Oryctolagus cuniculus: one gene and its partners. The protein of the gene in region 1 purifies or fractionates together with the protein of each later gene. This does not show direct contact. Links are inferred from orthologs where the notes say so. Each region holds a gene or a part of one and is shown in the gene's direction. Other genes may lie near its edges. The genes, in order: LGALS1, ITGA4, EGFR and FN1.

Region 1 (4,244 bases):
GGTGCCCAGGATGGCTCCCTGGGGGTTCCCTCACCTTGCCCAGCGCTCCCTGCCCTCTGTGCACCTGCCTCCTGATGTGAGAGGAGCGCCCTCCCACCAGCCTCGCCTCTGCTGCTACAGGGATCTCTGCAGCCCCAGTCGGGCCTCAGCACTCACTATTCTAGAACCTTCTGTGGCTGCCCGGCACCTTGGACTGTGTCCAAGCCCTTCCTCTGGCCTGTGAAGCCTGTACAATCTGGATTCCCGGCCTAGTCCCCCAAGCCTCCCCCTGCAGGGCCACGTGCCCACTGCTGCTCCCACCCCTGCGCTCTCATTCCTGAGCTCCTGCGCACCTGCAGAGACCCACCTTCTCCACGGCCTGCGGCGTCTCCATCCCACCACAGGGCTTGCTGTGACTGTGCCGCTTCTTCTTCTTCTTCTTTTTTTTTTTTTCTTTTTGACAGGCAGAGTGGACAGTGAGAGAGAGAGAGAGACAGAGAGAAAGGTCTTCCTTTGCCGTTGGTTCACCCTCCAATGGCCGCCGCAGCCGGCGCACCGCGCTGATCCAATGGCAGGAGCCAGGTGCCTCTCCTGGTCTCCCATAGGGTGCAGGGCCCAAGCACCTGGGCCATCCTCCACTGCACTCCCGGGCCACAGCAGAGAGCTGGCCTGGAAGAGGGGCAACCGGGACAGAATCCGGCGCCCTGACCGGGACTAGAACCCGGTGTGCCGGCGCCGCAAGGCGGAGGATTAGCCTGTTGAGCTGCGGTGCCGGCCCGGTGCCGCTTCTTAATCAGGTTCCCGGTTGGTGTCCCCCAACCGTGGGCTCCTTGGGAACAGGGACAGTGAGGGAGTCGTCTCCGGAGGTCCTGAGGCCAGCCCAGGGCCAGGCATGTGGGAGCTACAGCGCAGAATAGCTGCTGAATGCACGGGCAAAGGGGGGAGTGAAGAGAGCAGACTGGGTGCCCAGAGCAGGGGCCCCAACCCCTCACGGCCGGGCCCACCGGGCTGCTCCCCAGGCCGGGCACCCTCAGGCAGAGCTGTCCGGCCGCGCACCTCCCAGAAGCACCGAGGCAGGAGCACCGGCTGGCAGGCTGGGGCCTGGCACCCCGCCCAGGCTTTTTTTAGACTCAGAGAAGAGCACAGCCCCACTTGTGGGGGGGCCCGGGCCTTGTGGTCCTGGGTCCCCATCCCTCTGCAGTGCCCACAGCCAGAGCCACGCCCTGACCCTGCCTGGGAGCAGCCCCCACCCCAGCCCAGCGCTGACTCCCTGGAGCCCCCTGCACACGCCCTCCCTCCCGCCCCTGCCTTCTCCAGACACGCGCTGGGCTCTGCCTGCTGGCCCCAGGCCCCCGTCCCATCAGCTCTTGGGCCCAGCTCAACTATTTTCCATTGGCTTCCCCCAGTCTCTGCCACAGCACAAATTTGGGGAGATTAGGGCGGGGCTGGAGGCAGAATAGGAGGTGGAGCTTGGGCCCCAGGGGCGTGGCTAAAAAGGGAGTTCCCCGCTCTGATTGGTACCCTTTGCTCCAGAACTGGCTTCAAAATTCCATGGACTCCACCCCTACCCCTGTTCTGACTTACAATTGGCTGAGCTGCCAGGGGGCGGGACTCAGACCAGGGTCCGGGTCACTTAAAAAAGGGTGAGAGCCATCAGGAGCCATCTCTCGGGCGGGGCCTTCCGGACAGCCGGTGCTGCAGTCTTGGGATCACCCATCGTCCCGCTTCAATCATGGCTGTGAGTGTGGGGCCCTCCTCCCAAAGTCCAGGGGAGAGTGTAGCGGAGCGGGGGCTGGGCTCTGGTCCCAGCTCTGTGGCCTTGGAGGACTGCCTTCTCTTTTCTGGGCCTCAGTGATCACATCTATAAAATGGGGGTGGGGACCATGGTCCCCCAAGGCCTTCTCTGGCTTAAGAATATTCTGGATCCTTTCAAGGTCTGACAGTTCTTCCTGCCAAGTCTGACTTTCTGTAGTTCTCTATGAAGTGGGAGTGGGAAGGGTGTGGCCGGGGCCAGGGCAGGGGGTGGGGGGTAGACTGGTGAGGCCCAGGCCACTGTTCCTCTCTTCCACCGCAAAGAGCCTCCTTCCCCTCCCCCCTGCAGCTGTCCCCAGTCACCCGACCAGCTCAGAATCCTCCTCTGCTCCAGAGACTTCTACAGAGTGGCCGGGACCTAAGAGAGGCTGCCCGGCTGGGGCCTTCCCTGGGTGAGGGGGGTGGGTGGTCCTGCCCAGCCTGGTCAGGTGGAGGCTGGGGGGGCCCCCACGTCACCCCGAGCTTGGAGGCCGAGGTGGGGAGGAGGCAGAAGCTTTCCCAGGCCCCCAGGGAAAGGGTTCTGATTGCTGGCAGAAGGAACCACTCACATCAGTTAACTCCCGCCCTCCTGCCCCCCGCGCCAGTGCCCGGCTGCCCGCAGTGGCTCGGCCGTGTTAACCCTGAGCCGGCCTGGCTGCAGCCCCGGCCTTGGCTGCTGTCCCTCCTGCACAGGGCCCTGGCCGCGCCTCTGTGGCCACCATGCCTCTGCAGACAGGGGCTGGAGAGGGTGGGGGTCGCTGCTGCAGCCTCAGGCCACTCCCTCTACATTCAGCGGGACCTACCCCACCAGGACCCCGCTCCTCTCCACCTTCTAAATGGGGTACAGAGCATAGCACCCTACCTCCCAGACCCCTTGTAACCCCAAATCCCCAAGCAGCATCTGGGTACAGATGCAAGCAGATCAGGCAGGGGATGGGGTCTTTCCCAGGTCCACAGGGAGACTCAGGGGCCAGAACTCACTGCTCTGCCCCACCCCCCAGGCTTCGTGCTGGTCTGCTCAGAGAAATCAAGCTGGGAAGGACCACCCTCACGCCCCCTACCACGGCAGCAGAGGCCACGGCCCCTAACGTGTCAGGGCGGCTTCTTGTCTCCGCAGGGTCTGGTGGCCAACAACCTGAAACTCCAGCCTGGGCAGAGCCTCCTGGTGCGTGGCGAGGTGGCCCCCAGCGCCAGTCGGTGAGGCTCGGAGGAGGGCGGCGGGCAGCAGGTGCAGGGCTCTGAGCTGAGGGTCCCGTCTGGGCGGGTACCGGGTTTGGGCGTGGCCGGCCAGAGCTTCGGCTCCTCCTGGCAGGGAGCGGGTTAACAGGCAGCTGCTGAGTGAGTCACTTCCTCCGCTGGGTCTGGCCCCTCCACCATTCTCCCCGAGTCTCTTAAATTAAAACAGCTGCAGACCTCCCGCCAGGCCCCGCCCCCTTCTCCCCACCCCGCAGCCAGCGTGGGGGCGGGGAGAGGGGATGAGGGGGCGTCCCCTCCGGCCTCCCAGAGGGCCCTCCTTCCTGCGGTGGCTGGCCGATGCTTCTGTCTTCTCTTGCCGCACGCCGTGTGACCCTGGACCCGTGAGCCATCTTCCGCCCTGAGCCTCGGTCCATCAGTAAGATGAGTGGGGGAGGTGCGGAGTGAGGAGGAAGTGAGTGCAGATGCTGTCGGGAGCCTCCGGTGTGAGTCGCCTCTGGTTCTTGCCCAGCGTGCAGAGGTGGGGCAGCATCATGCGTCCATTTGTCCCAGTGATTCTCTGCTGCTGTGTGGCGCTCTGTGCTGGGCGCCAGGGGTGACAGACAGGAACCTTCTGGAGGGGCTAGGACACAGTGTCTGCAGGAGTCGTGAGCTTTCAGCCCCGCAAGGCTCTAAGAGATGGGGCAGGCACTGTGGCGCAGTGGGTGGAGCCACCGCCCGTGATGCCAGCGCCCCATATGAGCGCCGGTTCGGGTCCTGACTTCTCCACTTCTGATCCCGTGCCCTGCTAATGCACCTGGCAAAGCAGCGGAGGATGGTCAAAAGTACCTGGGCCCCTGCCACGCAGGATGGAGTTCCTGGCTTTGGCCTGGCCAAGCCCGGGCTATTGCAGCCACTTGGGGAGTAAACCAGTGGATGGAAGATCTCTCTGTAACTCTGGCTTGCAAATAAATAAGTAGTTTTTTTTTCAAGGCCTTAAGACAGGGGCCAGAGTTGTGAAGCAGTGGGTGAAGCCATCGGCTGCGGCCCTGGCATCCCGTATGGGCACTGGTTCGAGTCCCAGCTGCTCCACTTCCGATCTGGCTCCCTGCTAATGGACTGGGAAAGCAGTGGAGGATGGCCCAAGTGCTTGGGGCCCTGCCGCCCATATGAGAGACCCAGAAAAAGCTCCTGGCTCCTGGCCCCAGCCATTGCGGCCATGTGGGGAGTTAATAATTGGATGGAAGATACCTCTGTGTGTGTGTGTCTCCCTCTCTCTCTGTAACTCTTTCAAATAAATA
Region 2 (4,347 bases), on another chromosome or scaffold:
GCAACCTCTCTCAGTTCCTTCACCTGGCCCTGTTGGAGACCCTCCTGATTAAACTCTCAAACTGCTGAACCTCCCTGCACGCTCCTTGTCCCTCAAATCTCTCCTGAAATGTCCCTAACGTCTCTGGACTTGTCTCTAGTTAGTAAGTTTGTCATCTATCATTTGACTGAAAACTTTCCTGAGGACTTGTTTTCAGTCCTGCCCTGTTCCTGGTGGCATCCTTTGGGCCTAGCAAGGTGCCTACTCAGTGAATGTGCTGGATCGGTGAACAAATATCTTCATTATGTGTCTGCAACTTAACATGTGCCATTTCAGTGGAGTTGTATGCACATAGACTACATGATGAAGCCTTGTTCTTCTTTCTTTTATATTTTCAAGTAGCAGTAATAAATGTACCAACATCTACAAATAACTATTTATGACTGTCACTGACTGCGCAAGAAAGAGACCAGGATGAGCGTTTGGCACAGTGGCTAAGATGGCATCTCATACAGGAGTGTGTGACTTTGGTGGCTGGGGTCCCCATTCCAGGGTCCTGCTACTGTGCACCCTGAGAGCAGTAGTGATAGCCCAAATGCTCCAGTTTCTGCTACCCACGCGCGAGACCAGGATTGAGTAGTTGCAAGCATTTGGGGAGTGAGCCAAGGATGGGAGATCTGATTCACTTTCTCTCTGTCTTTCATAAAGATAACTAACTAAATAAAAATTTAAAACAAAGAAACTGAATTGCTTTAGGATGAGAACATGGCCCAGTCCAAATCTTGCATTGTGGTTCTCCAGCACATTTTTCCAGGACCATGTTGACCTTGACCTCACACCTCTGAGGATAGGCGAGGCCGGGGTCTCACCAACAAGCCGGAAGAGAAAACCGCTCCAGCGGGGCGGGTCCCGGTGCTTTCCTAGCCCAGACTCGCTGCAGGGGTCATCGGCAGCCTGCGTGGCTGCCATCCCGCCGGGGGCGCCTGCTTCTTGCTCGCTCACGCGTGCAGCCGGGACTTAAGAGGAAGTGCGGGGAGGAAGGAAGTGGGCATAGAAGGGTGCAGGGCTGCGAGTCATGAAGCGAATAGTCGCAGCGTCTTTGTCACCAGAACGTTCCCCGGGCGCCGTCAGAGGGAGTTCTTTTTTCGCTCTTTGTTTTTAAATTTGTGATCCTCTGGTCAATGTTTCTGGTGGTTGCTTAAGCCCCCAAATTCAGATACTGCGTTTAACCAATCCGCCAAAAGACTACACGGTTTCCCGCCGCAGCGCCGGTCCCCGGGGCTAGGGCGGACCGCAGAGACCCGGCGTTTGCCAGTGGGGCGTGCGCGGGCAGTAGCCACGACGCCCCGAGTGCATCCAGGCCCTAGCCACGGTTGAAAGGGGAAACCCCTTGCTCCCTCCAGGTCCACTCTTGCTAAGCCCCGGATTCCCGAACCCTTCCGCCCTCGTTGGGCTGGGAGGCCCAGGCAGGGACGCGCGTCCTGCGTAGCCGAGGTCCCCCAGCGCCCCCTACAGCCGCTCGTGGGGGGAGCCGGAGCCCGGCCCGCGCCTCTGCACCACGCCCAAGACCCCACCTAGCCGCCCGCGCCCCGGGGCCGAGTGAGCGCCGGCACCTCCAGGCCGCAGGATCGGGGCGTGGGGCCCGGCGCGGGCGCGGCAACCCGGGCCGAAGGCTATCGCCCCGCCCGCGGCTGGCGACTTCCCCTCCCTCCCTGGGGCTGTCCCTCCTTCTTTCCCTCCCGCCAGCCGGCGCCGGACACGCTGCGCCTCCTCTCTTGGGGCGCTCTAACCCCTGGCCAACCGTCGCGTCCCGAGCAACTTTGGGTGAGCGGCCGTTTGGTGTTGAATGTTCCCCACCGAGAGCGCATGGCTGGGGAAGCGAGGCGTGGATCTGGCTCCCGAGGGGCCGCCGTCCGGGAGGCGGTGATGCTGTTGCTGTGCCTGGGGATCCCGACCGGGCGCCCCTACAACCTCGACACCGAGAGCGCGCTGCTCTACCAGGGCCCCCCGGGCACGCTGTTCGGCTACTCTGTCGCGCTGCACAGCCACGGGTCGAATCGATGGTGAGTGGCGCTGCCACGGGCATCTCAGGGCGACGTGAGATCCCGGTCGGGTTGGAACTTTCCTCCCCTCCGGGGGCGTAGGCGGTGGGGAAATGCGATACAGCCAGTTTGCTAGAGATCTGCCCGGGAAGCATACTGATTCTGGGGGACAGCGCCGGGGAGTAGGGGTGGCCGGCGCAGTGCGCGGGTGGTGCGCAGAGGAGGGGGTGGGGGAGGCTGCCCCATGCCTGCTGAGACCTGGAGCTCAGCGGGCAGCACCGCTCACGTCTGAGCGCACGTTTCTCTCTCTAGGCTCATAGTGGGGGCGCCCACTGCCAACTGGCTCGCCAACGCTTCAGTGGTCAGTCCTGGGGCGATTTACAGATGCAGGATCGGACAGAATCCGGGCCAGACGTGCGAACAGCTCCAGCTGGGTGAGTTGGATCTGGGAACAGAAGTCACCGTCCTGCACCCCCCAGCCTTGAGGACTGTACTGTAGGGCAAGTCCTGGAAAAAGCCCTGTTGCCTATTCCTTCTGCGTTAAGGTGCATGATTCGCAGAGTTAATGCCACACTGTCTTCTTGTCTATTATAAAAGCGGCCCCCTTCTTTCTACCTGTATCTTTCTCTTTCGCTGGTGACATTGATTGCAGTACTGTGGCACGGTTACACAGAGGACCTTTCCTTGTGATGCCTACTTTTTACCCCCCGCCCCCACCTTGTGCAAAAACACATTTCAAAGTCTCAGCATATTAAGAACAGGATTCAGCCAGGTCAAGACTTAAACGTTTTATTTCCAGCTTTGACCTATCAACTTTATTAAAGAACAGGCTAACGGACAGATCAGGAGTAGCAGTTGCCTGTCGTTTAACCTAAGGACTTAAAAAAAAAGAGAGAGAACAGAAAAGAAAGTAATGTAGTTTTTCTTAGAATATACAATGCAAAATAAGTGTACAAGGAAAAACATGGGCATCTCCATCGTTGATAGTTAACACGAGGCTTAAACTATACTTACTAGTTTTCCTTGCCAAAAACTCTGCTTTAAATGGATCTTTCTGCGGTCATCTCTTAATGCCTGTTTGTAGGTTTGTGACAACACGAAACATATGTACTGTTGGGGGAAGGGAGAAGTTTCATGTTCAAAGACAAAAGCAAATTTGCTGCTTACAGGCACTCTGGGGGAGAAAGGGGAACTAATACTAATGTTGACCTATCTTGTTTCAAACACTGTCAGGCACTGCTATATACATTGCTTAATTTTTTTTTTTCTCAAAAAGCACCCCTGGGTGATGGTTGACATTGTTCCTACTTTTCTTTTTGAGGACTCTGACTCAGACAGTTGCAAATATGTTTTCTGGAGTTACTTAGATACTGACTGGTAGCTGGGACCCCGTTATTACTGGTCAGTCAGGTATGCTTGGGTCCAGAGTCTAACCCCTGTTGTGTATGCATGTTCAATGCAAATAAAGTTAAATAGAGGGTCTAGTATGTGGTCTCCTGAGCTAATACATCATCTGTACATGGTAAACCAAAAGGTCACAATTGGCACTTTTCGTTCATCTTTCTTTGCGATAAATGACTAGGGATTAGCTAGTGATTGCATCTGTGTAACCCCATTTTCATCTTCGTGTAGTTTTTGTTTCTTCTCAAACAGTGAAGCTGGTTTATTTCATTCAAATGAATTCATGTAGAGTACATATAATGGGATGTTTAATTTCTTGTCTATTTGAGGGAGGGGAGAAAGAGAGAGAGAGAGAGAGAGAGAGAGACCCCCTATCCATTGGTTTCCTCCTCAGATGCCCACAACAAAATCCAGGGGCCAGGAACTCAATCCACATCTCCCACATGGTTGTCTGGAACCCAGCCACTTGAGCCATCACCTGATCAGCGAACCCAAGTGCTCTGATATGGGATGTGGGCATCTTAACTGGTGTACTAATCACTAATGCAAATGCCCATAGCAGAATTTTTATTTTGCACTCAGCACCCACCAAAATCCAGGAGTTGTCTGCAGCACATAGAACAAGCCCCGCCTTCTTGTTCAGCATCTCCCATCCCAAAAGGTAGACTGAGGATTCATAAAACATTGTTAGGTCAACCTTGATCTGCTAGAGAGTGGTGACAAGGTCTCAGGAGGGAACAATTTCATTTCTGATGTCCTGCCAGTTTCCTGATCCATGATAGTATAACCTACTTCCTGTCTGGAAGGACGTTGATCCTATTTCTGGATGTCTATGTTGAACTAGAACGATATGGTTGTAGTATTATATAAAATTCAAGATAATAATGCCTATAATAAATGAAAGGAAGACCTAAATTCTTTGAGC
Region 3 (4,345 bases), on another chromosome or scaffold:
CGTGCACTGAGGGATCAACAACATCGCATCCATACTCTGCACAGAGTGGGCTGCCGTGGTCCTGCAGTGGGGGCTGGGGTGCCACCTGGAACCTTGTGTGCAAGGCCCCTCAGGGCTCTCAAGAGGAGCTCCTTCCTGAAGTCAGTTATCACTACACTCCAAGTACCTGCAAGCCGTTCAAAATCAACCTGATGTCACTTTTTATATCAAAGCTCAGAGACGTCCCAGGAGGAACTTTAGCAAACCCATTCCTCCCTGTGTGCAGGACTCTATCCCAGTGCTGGGCCCCGAGCCTGGCCAGAGTTTCCACGGACTTCTGCCACCGTTCCTGGAAGAGCTCTCCCCAGCACCACGGAGGAATGTGGTGGGGGCCCAGAAGGTCTCACACTTTGTCTTTTTTTGGGGTACTCAGGATAAATCGCTGCACTTTTAAAAGTCAGTCGAGGGTCACATGGACACCACGATTTGTGCCACCAATCATCCTGGCGGGCAGCGAGTGTGCCTAGGGTTCGTCCGTGGCTCCTGTAGCGGAACGCAGGATCACGGGTGCCCTTCTGTTTCCTGGCTCCTCTTCTAGCTTTTGTCTCTAGCTTTTGTATTTGCGTTTCTTTGCAGCCTGCTCTAAGTCTTCTGGTTTGGAATGTGGGCTGGGAACCAAACACACGGCTGGCTGTGGACTTCACAGCCTTGCTCACCCGGGGCAGCCGCGATTCCTCAGAACAAAGAACAAGCCAGCCGCTCACTCTGGTTCCCCGCAAACCCCACCTTTCCCGCGGCCGGGCGGGGCGCAAACCCGCAGAGCAGGGAAGCGCTGAAGAAGCCCTGGAGCCGAGGCGGGGTGCCCTCGGCCCAAGGGTTCAGAGAAAGTCCCCGCAGCTCCAGGAAGCTCCACTTCCTGTGGCCAAATCCTCAGTGACTCTTGCTGGCGTCTGCGGTGCTGTGCGCGACCGACATCCTCGGCCCTCGCTCCCGGAGCCAGTCCCTGGCACAGTGGAGGCCGTGGGCGCACCGGGACCTCACGCATTCACTCAAGGAACGCAAAGGAAAGCCGCTCTCCCAGCGGGGAGCCGAGCGCGCTCGTTCCCAACGACTTCGAGGGCGCTCAGGGGGCCCCTAGGGGCCCCAGCCGCCCGTCTGGGTCTGGCTCTGCTGGGGACTCTTGCCCCGGGGCCCCAGCGGCCCCTCTGCGTGGTCACCCACCTCGGCCCTCGGGCTCAGCCGGTTTGTCCGGAGCCTGCTCCAGGTGGCTCCGTCTACAGAAGGGGCCGGTGAGGGGACCAGGCCCGGCTGCGCCCCGCGCTGGGAACCGACCCGGCCTGGGGTCGCGGCGCGCGGAACGCCCCTCTCGGGAACTCGCTCCCGGCGCCAGGTCCCGCGGGGCCGCGGCGTCCACGCCTCCGCTCGCCGCTCTTCCTCCCGCTCGCATTCTCCTCCTCCTCCGCGCCTCCGACCCCTCCTCCTCCGCTGGGCCCTCCTCCCGCCGCCTCCCCACGCCCGCCGCCCGGCAGACGTCTGGGCAGCTCGGCGCAGCGCGGCAGCCGCTCCTCACCCGCCGCCCGGAGTCCCCGAGGCCAGGCGCGGGCGTCCCAGGCCGGACCCAGGCGGGACTCAGGCGCCCGCGTCTGCCCCGCGCACGGAGCCCGACGCCCTTCCGAACCGACCGCACAGTTGAGCGCGCAGCGGCAGCGATGCGACCCTCGGGGCCGGTCGGGCCCGCGCTCCTGGCGCTGCTGGCCGCGCTCCTGCAGGCGGGACAGGCGCTGGAGGAGAAGAGAGGTAAGGGCGCGACCCGCACCACACCGCGCCGCGGTCTTCCCGACTTCCGTGAGGACCCTCGGGCTGAAACCGCTCTGGACGTCTAGCTCCTGGGCTGCGCGAGTCGCACCAGGGGAGCTCCGGCGCCGAGCGCTGCCCAAGCTGCTCCATACCCGGCACGTGCGCCCCGCGCAGTCCGCGCACCCATGGGCGGTGCGTCCCACCCGCGGCCCTGGGAGTTTAGGTTGGATCCGGGAGCTGCGCGCACCTTCCGGGACTGGCGCTTCCCGAGCGCACCCTCCCCGCGCCGGCCCCACCCGGTCCCGGGCTGCAACCAGAGGCCCCGCGAGCCCTTCCCGCGTGAGGGGCTGCGGCCGGAGCGGGGGCTGGAGGACTCCTGTCGCCCACCACGCGAGGCTGCTGGGCCGGGACGGCGCGGGGAACTGGGGCTGGGGTCCTGTCCGGCACGCCCCTGGCGCGCAGTCCCCGCCCCGCGCCGAGCGGCCGGGTGCGGCCGGGCCAGGTGCTTGGCGGCGCGGCGAACCCGGCCCCCACCTGCGTGCTTGCTCCGCAGGACTGGCTGGGCGGCGGGTCTCGGCTCCGAGCCCGCCCTGCGCGTCCCCCACGGTTTTCTCAAAGTCCCAAGATTTTCTCCTTTTTGGCGTTTCCTTTTGCTTTCTGAAAAGTTTGATATTGGGCCAACCAAAATATTAAACTGTATCAAAACCAGGAAAGGATGCGGTCCGGGCCCCACGTGCGCGAAGGCCCCGCGGAGTGGGCCTCGCCGCGAGACGCCCGCCGCGGGAGGCCGCGTTGCACAATCCCCGGCTGGGCCGGCTTCCGAGAGAGTCAGGTCCCTGCTTGCCGTTGATGTCATCGGCCTCGGGTCTGGGCTCTGGCGCCGGGCGCGTCTGCGGGCCAGGGGTGCTGCGGCGGCCCCAAACTTCGCTGCAGGTGGGAATCACCTGGGACTGAAAAACGAAAATAGTAATAAACAACGAACTGGAAAAGAGGGGAGAGGGCGAGGGGAGGTTGAGGCGGGGGAGAGGAAGCGAGGACCACGTCCGGCTCCCGCTCACGGATACCCCGATTTAATTGGTGTGGGGTGAGAGCCGGCCTTGGGTTTTAACAGCTCGGGCAGGCTTGCGAGTCCTGGCGTGGAGGAAAGAAGGGCGAAGTGTCCAGAAGGCTCACCCGCTAGCCGTGGAGCTTCCCCCAATCTGCGCAGCTCTCGCAGAGCGCCGCGAAGGCAGGGCTTGGCCAAGGGGGCTCTGAGGCCCCCGGTGCGCGGCTCCGGTACACCGAGTGCTCAGTGCCTTCTCACCCCAGAAGTGCGCCCAGCTCCTAAGTGGGGCTGCCTCCCCGCTGCCGCCGTGGTGGGAGATTTGTTTCTTGTTTGCCCTGTGTTCGCCAGTGCTGTGGTGAGAAAGGGCGCGCACGCTCCGTTAACATGAGGCAGAGAGACTGGCGAGGATCTAATTACTAAAACTGCGAGGCATAATCTTCCTATAGAAGTTGTTAAGGACCCATGTCAATCACGTGCCAATTCCATTCCAGGAGAATTGGTGAGGGTTTTTTGGGTCTCAGCTAGGAAACCGGTATTGGCTGCCCTCAGATCTAACAACCAGACCTGGCTCCTGCGTCCTCACCTCCTTCCTCATTTTCCCGCCCTGCAGGAGAAGATCGATTTCCCCACCGCTCACAAGAGGCAGGGTCAGGGCTGAGACGCCACTGCCTTCTGCAGCCCAGGTGTGGGGAGCCAGGTCAGGTGTACGCGGCTGACTCACCTCACTTGCAGCACAGAGGAAAAGTACCAGGAACGGCTCATCAAGTTGGGCTCCCCTCCTGAGGCTGCAAACACACCCTGCTAACCAGTGGTCTGCTCTCCTCAGGGTTCCTCAGCCTGGTGGGGACAGCTCTGTCACCAAATCCCTGAGCCAAGCTTGCTAGGGGAGTTGAACAAGGCCTGGATCCTCGCTCCAGGGAAGGCACTGCTGAGGAGGAGGTCCTGGGGTGTTCCCAGGAGCTCAGGAATTCTCAGCCACAAGCTTCTTGTGGGGATGAGCCTGGCCACCCCTGGTTCAGTGGGCCTGGGCCGTGTTAAAGAGAAACCAAAGCAGAGGTGGTAGGGAATCCAAGACGAAGGATGGGATGCCCCGGCTGGCCTGGCAGCCGGCCTTGTCTTCTCACTCCAGCTGCGGGTGGAGGTGAACAGGTCACATCCAAGCGCCAAGCTTCTCGATCCCCTTTCTGAGTTCAGTATTTGTGAATTCAGTATTCACTGTGCGTGCCTGGTATCATGAGTTAAAAGGGAGGAGAGTTATGACAGCTACTGGAAATGGGATTCTGCAAGTCGCTAAATACTAGTAAATTTCCTTTTTACTCTTTCAGAGTCTTGTCTATCGCACAGACAGGCAGAAACCTGGTGATAGCTCCAGCCGGCTCTGAACAGTCATTTCTGGCTTCATGCATTTGGTTTCATAATCCATCGTTTTTCACAAACCTTTCTCTGGTGTTTGAAGAAGCCAGCTGCCAAAATCCATTGTGCTGCATGGTTGCGCTTGGTTCACGTGACAGCACTAACATGTTT
Region 4 (3,381 bases), on another chromosome or scaffold:
TGTCACAAATATAAGTAATGGAATATAATAGCCCATTGTTTTCAATGAAGATTGCGCTCCCCCCATAGCTCCCCAAATTTTGATACTTGAGGACTTGCTCTAACCCCAGGGTAGGTTTCACTGGCAGATGCATTTGGCATTAACCAATTACAGGTACCCAAGATGGGAAAGAACATGATGGAAACATGATCTTTAGGAAGATTAATCTGCAGCAGGAAAGGGTCATTAGAGGCCTCTCCAGGTCCTAACAGAGGACCAGGAGCCGCCAATGGAAACTGCCTTGATCTCTTTACAATAATAGTTAAGTGAGGAGGAGGCTGGTCCCCACGGTGACGGAAAAGAAACTGTGGAGTCAGTTTTTCTCTCTCTCCCTCTCCCGATCTCTCTCATCAACACTTTTAAAGCCTGTGATCATTTTGGTATAACAGTGTGATGGAGACTGAATTTGTTTAGAAGTAGATTTTGATCTCACTTCAACATCTTCTCATTATTTATGCACAACAAACCTTTCATGTGTGACACCTAGTATCTTCTAAAAGAAAGTGCTAAATGAGACCCTTAAAACTAAAGTGCGAACTGTTACATTTTTAATTGAAAGCAAACTCCATTGATTTTCTAAGTAGGTATTTACCTGTTTTGTGTTAGGTATTAGGACAATATGTTGTTAAGTGGGGAAATAGTTCTCAGATATTTCAATGAAAATATAAGCAAGAAAGTGATTATAGTATTTAGAATTCTTTCCATGGAAAGAAAAATCTCACTCAACTTAGGCAGACATGGCTCGTGTAATGGGATGTTCTGGAATCTACCAACATCAAGGGGTTGCTCCAGGGATGGGCTCTAAGGCCTCTGCCTGCCTCTCCTTGCACTGGCTTCTTTCTCCAGTGTGCTCTCTGCTGATGGTGACACTGATGACCCCCAGCAGCTTCAGTTTTACCTCCTCCCATCTTCAGCAAAACTCTCAGGGCAGAGCCTCACTGGCCCAGTTACCATCCCTTCTCAGGCCAGATGCAGGGCTCACACCTCACTGGCCCAGGGAGGTTCAGGAGGGGAATGGCCATTTGTTGCAGGAGAAGGAGCATGGCTGGGGTTGCCTCAACTCCTGAGTGGCAGCCCCAGCTCTGCCCACCAGCCGCTGTGTGACTTCCTTCCTGCCTCGGAGCAAGTCACTGCTCTCCTCTGGGTCCCTATTTCCTTAGCTGTAATATGACAGTGTTTGTTACATGATCTCAGGATCCTTTCGAAAGCTCTCAGAGTTTTTGAAACCTCTTCCATCATCAAGCACCGAGAGCTTATTGAGGAAGTTGGGACACAAATGAGCCTTAGCCTATGTGTGAGGTTTCAATGGGGGGAGAAGAGAGGAGATTTGAGGAGGAAGGGAAAACATAAGTAGATAGTAGATAAGAGATATATTAACAAGCAAAAATATACTCTTAAGAGTTTTAAATACATGAGATCATCATCAAATTTCTTTAGTGATTAACTTCTTATATTTTGCCAATGCATAAAGCTAAAATTCTTCTTGAACTCAAGCACTAAATTACAATGTCCTTGGATTATCATAAATCCTATTTGACTTCATGCATCTACCTGCTCAGGGCTGGCGCTGTGACAACTGCCGCAGACCAGGGGTTGAACCCAGTCCTGACAGCTCTACCGGCCACTCCTACAACCAGTACACACAGAGATATCATCAGAGAACAAACACTGTAAGTGCATTTGTACCATATCTCTCCCCCACCCTAAGTAGGTACAAAATAGGGGATCTTTCTATAGGTACCTTCCTTCTGAATAAACCAAATGTTTTCCATTAAAAAAAAAACAACTCACAAGTGATAAGTACAATCCTGTATCCTAGAACATAATTTAACTTATAAATTATTAAGGCCTTGAACATCATGGGCCAGTGTAGTGAGCTAGGTTCCTTTTATTAGAAAGAAATACTATCCTATATGCTCATATAAGTAGCTGTCATAGGAGTCTCCCCTCCCTGCCTTCGTATTTTTTCTGCATATCTTACACTACTATTGCCATTAATGTTTCTTCTTCTTCCATTTGAACAGAATGTTAACTGCCCAATTGAGTGCTTCATGCCTCTAGACGTACAGGCTGACAGAGAAGATTCCAGGGAGTAACATTTCCACCCCAGAGGAAGAAACATGTCTCTGCAAAGGTCCATCCCAACTGGAGTGACGTTGGCAGACCCTGTCTTTGCGTGTTTGTTACTTTTTAAGCCTTTTGCTCTGGAGTAAGTGCTCCAGCCTCAGCTCAACTCACAGCTTCTCCAAGCATCATCCTGGGAGTGTTTTGAGACTTTTCTCATAAATGAGGGCAATATGTTGCCTGTTCTGCTTCAAATTATTCAATACCGCTCAGTATTTTAAATGAAATGATTGTGATTGATGATTTGGTTTGGGGTCAATAAGGAAGCATATATAACCAACCAAAATGCCAAATGTGTTGAAATGGTCTTAACAAAATTTTAAGTAGGAAAGTTACCCAAACACTTCTGCTTTCACAGAACTCTGGCCCGCAACACTGTAGGAACAGCCTATCCTTGTTACTGTGATATTTAAAATATCCACAGTACTCACTTTTCCCAAATGATTCTAGTAATTGCCTAGAAATATCTTTCTTTTACATGTTATTTATCAATTTTACCAGTATTTTTATATGGAAAAAAATTGAATTGAAGTCACTTAGTATGCAGTTGAAAAAAGGAATTTGGTATAATTATGGTTGGTAATTATTTTTTATACTGTATGTGCCAAAGCTTTACTACTGTGGAAAGACAACTGTTTTAATAAAAGATTTACATTCCACAATGTGAAAGTCATTCTATTTTATATAAGGTACTTGGGGGGAAATAATAATCCTTGAATTTTTTTTCAATTTAATTCAGCAAACACTTGAAAATTTATGATGTGCCAGGCTCTCTTATCTTTGATAGTGTTTATACAAGATTTACTCAGTCTGTCTCTACAAAATCACAGATTCATTTTTGTCATTTCTTCTCTTCAATAATGGAGATGGCTTTATATTTTATATTAAAACAGATTTAAGGGATGTCCTAGCCAGCTTTTCAGAAATACAGTTGATACACTCTTTCTGGGTTTTTTCTAACTTATAATTCTTCCTTCTCTCTTTTCTCTTTTCCTTCCTTCACTGAATAAACATCTGTCGCTCCCCCTCTTCGTGGAGGAACGGCACAGGACCCTGTGCTGTTCCTTCATCTGCTCGGCCCTCCCCGGGTTCGCTGCTGGCTCCTCCCGGGCCGGCTACTATCCCTTCCACCTCCGTGGAAGGGCAGTTCCCCCTGGCCACATTCCCCACTTCCGCAGGGGAGCGGCACACCGCCGGCCGGCTCTCTGGGGGCTGCAC

What was found.
Region 2: the proteins of LGALS1 (region 1) and ITGA4 purify together in Homo sapiens (affinity purification with mass spectrometry; 3 studies listed by BioGRID and IntAct, with this or other methods). This does not show direct contact. The link is inferred for Oryctolagus cuniculus from reciprocal best matches to the Homo sapiens genes LGALS1 and ITGA4.
Region 3: the proteins of LGALS1 (region 1) and EGFR purify together in Homo sapiens (affinity purification with mass spectrometry; 3 studies listed by BioGRID and IntAct, with this or other methods). This does not show direct contact. The link is inferred for Oryctolagus cuniculus from reciprocal best matches to the Homo sapiens genes LGALS1 and EGFR.
Region 4: the proteins of LGALS1 (region 1) and FN1 purify together in Homo sapiens (affinity purification with mass spectrometry; 3 studies listed by BioGRID and IntAct, with this or other methods). This does not show direct contact. The link is inferred for Oryctolagus cuniculus from reciprocal best matches to the Homo sapiens genes LGALS1 and FN1.

The regions. Positions count from the first base shown.
Region 1 is NC_091442.1:114,555,525-114,559,768, forward strand, and holds the start of LGALS1 (galectin-1), read left to right. Parts: upstream 1-1,426; 5' UTR 1,427-1,711; coding exon 1,712-1,717; intron 1,718-2,887; coding exon 2,888-2,967; intron 2,968-4,244. UniProt on the Homo sapiens protein: Lectin that binds beta-galactoside and a wide array of complex carbohydrates. Plays a role in regulating apoptosis, cell proliferation and cell differentiation. Inhibits CD45 protein phosphatase activity and therefore the dephosphorylation of Lyn kinase.
Region 2 is NC_091434.1:59,370,045-59,374,391, reverse strand, and holds the start of ITGA4 (integrin alpha-4), read left to right. Parts: upstream 1-1,541; 5' UTR 1,542-1,845; coding exon 1,846-2,042; intron 2,043-2,333; coding exon 2,334-2,455; intron 2,456-4,347. UniProt on the Homo sapiens protein: Integrins alpha-4/beta-1 (VLA-4) and alpha-4/beta-7 are receptors for fibronectin. They recognize one or more domains within the alternatively spliced CS-1 and CS-5 regions of fibronectin. They are also receptors for VCAM1.
Region 3 is NC_091447.1:57,745,640-57,749,984, forward strand, and holds the start of EGFR (epidermal growth factor receptor), read left to right. Parts: upstream 1-1,494; 5' UTR 1,495-1,688; coding exon 1,689-1,776; intron 1,777-4,345. UniProt on the Homo sapiens protein: Receptor tyrosine kinase binding ligands of the EGF family and activating several signaling cascades to convert extracellular cues into appropriate cellular responses.
Region 4 is NC_091434.1:23,977,975-23,981,355, forward strand, and holds the end of FN1 (fibronectin), read left to right. Parts: intron 1-1,598; coding exon 1,599-1,709; intron 1,710-2,063; coding exon 2,064-2,135; 3' UTR 2,136-2,825; downstream 2,826-3,381. UniProt on the Homo sapiens protein: Fibronectins bind cell surfaces and various compounds including collagen, fibrin, heparin, DNA, and actin. Fibronectins are involved in cell adhesion, cell motility, opsonization, wound healing, and maintenance of cell shape.